2 linked regions of the Kluyveromyces lactis genome follow. The protein of the gene in region 2 binds, or shares a complex with, the protein of the main gene of each other region. Links are inferred from orthologs where the notes say so. Each region holds a gene or a part of one and is shown on either strand. Other genes may lie near its edges.

Region 1 (2,379 bases), about 810 kb from region 2:
CTGAGCACCCTCTGTGTCACAATGTTTTGGAATATTTGAGATGCTATATTTGAAACAAAGGCAATCTTGGTGCCAAAAAATTGGGAAACTTTGAACGCTAAAAACAGTAGTGGTTTTCTCGTTTCTAACTGAAAACACTCATTCATGGCAGAAAAGAAATAGTGATTGAAAAATCCACTGTCGGGTTGATCAATTCTTCGAAGAACGTGATTAGTAGTTACCTCTTTATTGCTCAATTGAAAAGTGGACCATAATTTATGCATCATTTTTTGAATCCAGTTTTTTCTATCCCTTAGCTTACAGTTCTCTGCCTTTTCCCTGAGAAGACTCTCGCAGATAGATTTTACTATGTCTATCACTATGAATGGCTCTGCAATCTTCTCAGTCAACTTGTCTAGTAAAAAATCACCGAAGAAATCTCGTAAAAAGGCATTATGCAATCTTGAACCACTACTGAATCTCTCAACTATAATTTCAGCAATCGCATGGGGGTAAGTATGTTTGTATAATTGTAGCTGGTAAAAGTCATCTAATAACAACTGTTCTTGTAGCACTCTTCTCATTATCTTAACTTGTGTTTCTACAAATAAGGGTAAATCATCACATATTACTTGCTCCCACAAAATATTTGTATTATGAATATCATCTAACACATCATCAACAAGTTCATACAGATGTACTAAAAGCTCGGTGTCCGATGTTACAATTTTCTCCCCGTACCATGAGGTAACGAAGTTTTTCAATAGTAGTACCAAGATGGCATGTAAAGGAAGTTTCCAATCAGGACATCGAAAGATCTGCGAATGGATTTCCGTCGGATAAACTGAACAACATAGTTCTATGAGATACTCTCTTGAGTCCTTATTCTGTTCTGATATGAACGGAGCGTCGTTCGTGTTGATCTTTGTATTTAGCTGCTCTGCATTGATCTTGGTTTTGCGCTGGAATCTTGATAGCTGCTTCGAATTTGAGCTGTATAATATCGTCGGCATTACGGCTTAACCAGTTTAGAGCTGACACAACCTCAATTCTTCAGTCTTATTTGACAATGTTTAACCTTTTATTTCTCAATGGAACGACCATCCTTTTTTTGTTTGACATTCACGTTTTGTTGATGTTTTTGGTAGAAATATTCTATTGCTCCCAAACCTTAGCCATAACAGAAAAACCTTAATTGTACAAGCGCAGCGGGAAAAAAAAAAAATACCTTCAACTCATTCGAGTTTAGAGTCCATAGCACAATTACTCCCAGCACTTCATCAATTAGGAAATCTTTGGTGGCTCATGATGCGTGAACTGCTACGTAACTTGATAGAAGACAAAACGGTAATAAACTATAAGAAATGGTGGATGGAATGTAAAGATGCCCAAGAAACCAAGTTATTGGCTATTCTTTGTTTTTACGATATTGATGACTTACCGGAAGAGACTACAGCAGGTCTTGATAAGTTCGTCCTGGATAAGTTACGTGTTCTATCGCTATTAAGTCTCTGTGAATTATCTACTGAAGTGAATTACCAAGAGATTAAAGAGAAATGCGATTTAAAGACTGATGGAGAGGTGGAAAAGCTGCTCATACGTGCGGAGCTGTTTGTAGATTTGAAAATTGACAGTGTAGCAAGAAGGGCTACGGTACTGGAATATAAAATCAGTAGGGACGTCTACAGTGGTGAAAAGGGAGTACCTTTCCATACTCCTGTAAGGTCCAAAATCAACATTCTTTCTGCGTTGATTAACTGGAGAAGCTCGCTTACTGACTAAGTAAAATGATTTAAGCCCGATAATTCTGCATTACGGCGGTTCCGGTAAATTTATTTTAACGGATGGTTTTAATTGAACTCTAATTAAAAATACGTTAAACAACTAATTGCTATATGAATTTCATTTCTGATGAGCTAGAAAAGGTCAAAGAATCCCCCCACACGTACGAGACAACTCGTCCTGTGACCGGAACATTGATTTCAATATCCCATTAAAATGTTGCGCAACCTGTTGAGTAAGTGATTGTGACTTCATGTTCGGGTGTTGTCATTGTCTCGTGGATTAGCAGGGCTTAGAACTGTTGCATAGTCTTTTAGAGTCCGTTGAGAATATAATAAATAAATAGCAAAGGAGGGTATTTCGATGATGAACTTAAAGCCTCCCTTGACCAAGATACTGATGGTGCATGTTTGATAGCTTTCGATGAATCAATCATCAAAAGTGAATAATTCCAGTGTTCTATAATACGAGAACACAGAAATAATAATTGCATAATATGGTTGGAGCAATTGGAAACAACGAGAAAGTAAGTATCCAAAAAAAAATTTGAAAAAAAGATCATATCATGAGTCTCTTAGATCATTTCTTTTCGGTAGATGGTTTAGACCAAATATTTTT
Region 2 (3,031 bases):
TGCTTTGATGAATATAACGAGGTACATGACAATGTCAGGTTTGCTGGTACTTATAAAACAGAAGTGCTACGAATTGATACTAGAAGTACTAAATCTGAACTAATAAGTGAGCGTGATTCATTGGACTCGTGGTCAAATGGAATCTACCAAGTCATTAAGTCGGATAACGGACATTATTTGTACTGTATTAAACGTAATGCAAGAGAAATCGATGTTATTGATACACGAATGTTAAAATCTAGAATTAATATACTGGAACTTCCATTCAAAATTGGTAAGCAGAAATTCAAGGCATCCTTGAACAGTGCCAAAGGTTTGTTAATTGGATCGTACGATGGTCAGGTTGCATGCTGGGACAAAGATTGCATTGAATTTGGTGGGTTGGACCCACTTCAAACCGCTGGTACTGGAATAAAGCCAACGAATAACATTCTTATTTCAGATGAGAATGTAAGGGTGAATTGCATTGCAACGAATCCTGTTGATCCAAACACCCTCGCTATTTCAACCTCGACTGATAAATTTGCAGATGATGAGGGTATGACATTAAAAACATCTGTGAAGCTTATTCGGATGCATTAAATAGTTGTCTGTAGGTCCTTAACTTTTGATATTGCTTAACCTTCAATAAGAGTAGTTTCTTCTTCTTCAGTTCGTATTCATGCTTTATCTCTGCCTCCTGAAACTGCATGCCAGGTATCACATTGGCCGGTATATCAAGACTACTTTGAGCACTCTCTTGATCATCCATTTCTACATCAGTAGTATGCCTTGTGGTTAAGGAAGAGGTCGAGGAGATTGAATTGGACCTCTCGTGTGTAAAATCTTCATTTCCTATCTCAGTTTCATTAACCACGGTGGATCCGATAGCATTGAATCCTACAGTTGACTTCATCACTTTTTTGGCATGAAACCAATTCTCTACACATTCATGTAGCTCTTTCATTAGTTCCGGTTCGTTAGGATTGTTCTGAATTGCTGGATCTACCTTGAATTTCAATTTTAATTTTGAAATGTTAACATCAAGTGAGTTTTGATATAATTGAATGTTAAGTGGATAATAATCAACATGCTCGTTGTTATCTTTAGACGGCAGTGTCCTAAATGCTCCAATGTCCAAAGTGTTTCCGGATAAAGACTTCTTGGGATCGACCACTATGGCAAGGTACGGGTCTTGGTAATTTTGATTTAAAGACTGTGTTTGGATGTCGATATTGCTCAACCAACAACCATATCCTGGATGAGAGTGGTACCAGCCCACTATCTTATCTTCTTTTGTGACAAATGCGTCTAAATACTGGACCATATATTCATATGATTCCATATGCGCATTAACCCTTGTTTCAGTTCCTTGAACAGGTAAAGAATAGCAATCCTTGACAACTATCATATCATTGCTAGTGTATCCTACTAGCATCCCCATAACTTCAATATCTCCACCATCAACCGCATGAGATAACATCTTTGTAGTAGCAAGTCTTGATATAAGGCATTTCTGAAAGTGACACGGATTTCGTTTCAAATCGGTAGCATACGGGATTCTTGCTGGTAGGTGGTCTATTACAGGAATCGTCGTGCTTGAATCACTAGAACTGGAAAGTGAAGTTTCTGTATTGATGTCTTCGTTAGCTTGAATCCATCGAGTGACTTCTTTCAAGGATTTCTCATGAAATTTTATGGAGCTCATTCCTCATTCCCAGTCTTCTAAGGTGTAGCAGGCAAGCGGCCAGACACTCTTGATGAAAAATGATACTTAGTAAACCACTGTTGTTAATTCTTCCACGAGAAGTTTACTTTCTACTTGCCTTTACAATTCGAAGTAAAATAGAATCTTAAATTTCACAAAATGTTCGTACTAGAAAGAGCGCATAATTGATAAGATTTGTCATTACAGATAGGAATTCATTAAAATAGTAAGTGATTAAGTACACTACCTTACTAAATAAGTATTGCATCTTGCTGTGTTTACATCACATCCGTACACAATATATATACATTTGGAATTTTACTTCCCCCTTTTTCAAATACAAAAGAGTTTCAATGCAAGTTTCTGATCAAACGATTTCCAAATCGCTTGCTTCTCTCTTAAGGTTACCAATGTATTCCAAGAATTTACCCATATTGACATCAGTACCAAACTCATAGACGAAGTGACTGGACAAATAACTGGATAACAAAGCCTTTAAATAGGAGTCTGGAATTTGTTTCAAAATTTGCTCTGGCCCAGCAACGTCGGTTAACAACTTAGGAATGATCTTGTTTAATAGCAAATAGTTTCTCAACTTCAAATCGTTAGACCATAATTCATCTGATTCAATTAAATCATCATTCAATTTGTTGATGGTTTCCGAGATCACATTGGATAAATGAGACATTGGTAAACCAGTAGCTTTGTTTAATTTCCATAATTGACCAAATTCTTGTCTAGCATTGAACTGAATCTTTTCTTGAATTTGTTTCACATAAGATTTATACAGTTCAGTATTAGTCTTACCATCAGTACTGACAAATTTGCCGACGAAATCTTCGTCGTTCAACGATAAAGCAGCCAAAACTTCCATAGATGACGACGTAACACCACCCTTATTAGCAGAGGCATCCTTAATCAAAATAGCACCATGTCTTTCCAATTCCAACTTGGCTGGTTGAGAAATGAATAAGTTCGCACCTTCAACAATGTATGGAATCTTACTCTTATTGTTTTCTTTGTTGATGAAATAGTGCAAGTTGTTCAAATCAATGGAATTTGGTCTACCACCACATGGCACAAATAGGTCAATATGGTTAACAAACTTGAAAACTTCATAATGGAAAGTGTTACGGAAAGTAGTACCATTTGCGACAAGGACACCATTAGGTAGCATGACGTCGATATCATCGACAGAGACAAAGAAACCTTTCTTGGAAAGTTTAGATTTGTCGTAACTTGAAACCATGACTCTTTGCTTGGCCAAGTTAATCAACTCATGTTTGTCTAATCCTTCTGGATCACACAAGACACCAGAACCGTCAACCAACCCCACGTATGCTT

What was found.
Region 1: RRI1 (region 2) and CSN9 share a complex: the UniProt entries of both Saccharomyces cerevisiae proteins name them as parts of the COP9 signalosome-like (CSN) complex. The link is inferred for Kluyveromyces lactis from reciprocal best matches to the Saccharomyces cerevisiae genes RRI1 and CSN9.

Annotation. Positions count from the first base shown.
Region 1 is NC_006040.1:1,529,707-1,532,085, reverse strand, and holds CSN9 (Csn9p), read left to right. Parts: upstream 1-1,284; coding exon 1,285-1,761; downstream 1,762-2,379. Other genes in the region: NVJ3 (Nvj3p), read right to left, coding at 1-992; KLLA0_D18117g (CybS family protein), read right to left, coding at 2,341-2,379. UniProt on the Saccharomyces cerevisiae protein: Component of the COP9 signalosome (CSN) complex that acts as a regulator of the ubiquitin (Ubl) conjugation pathway by mediating the deneddylation of the cullin subunit of SCF-type E3 ubiquitin-protein ligase complexes.
Region 2 is NC_006040.1:724,261-727,291, reverse strand, and holds RRI1 (COP9 signalosome catalytic subunit RRI1), read right to left. Parts: upstream 1,688-3,031; coding exon 566-1,687; downstream 1-565. Other genes in the region: SWT21 (Swt21p), read left to right, coding at 1-582; GDH2 (glutamate dehydrogenase (NAD(+))), read right to left, coding at 2,055-3,031. UniProt on the Saccharomyces cerevisiae protein: Catalytic component of the COP9 signalosome (CSN) complex that acts as an regulator of the ubiquitin (Ubl) conjugation pathway by mediating the deneddylation of the cullin subunit of SCF-type E3 ubiquitin-protein ligase complexes.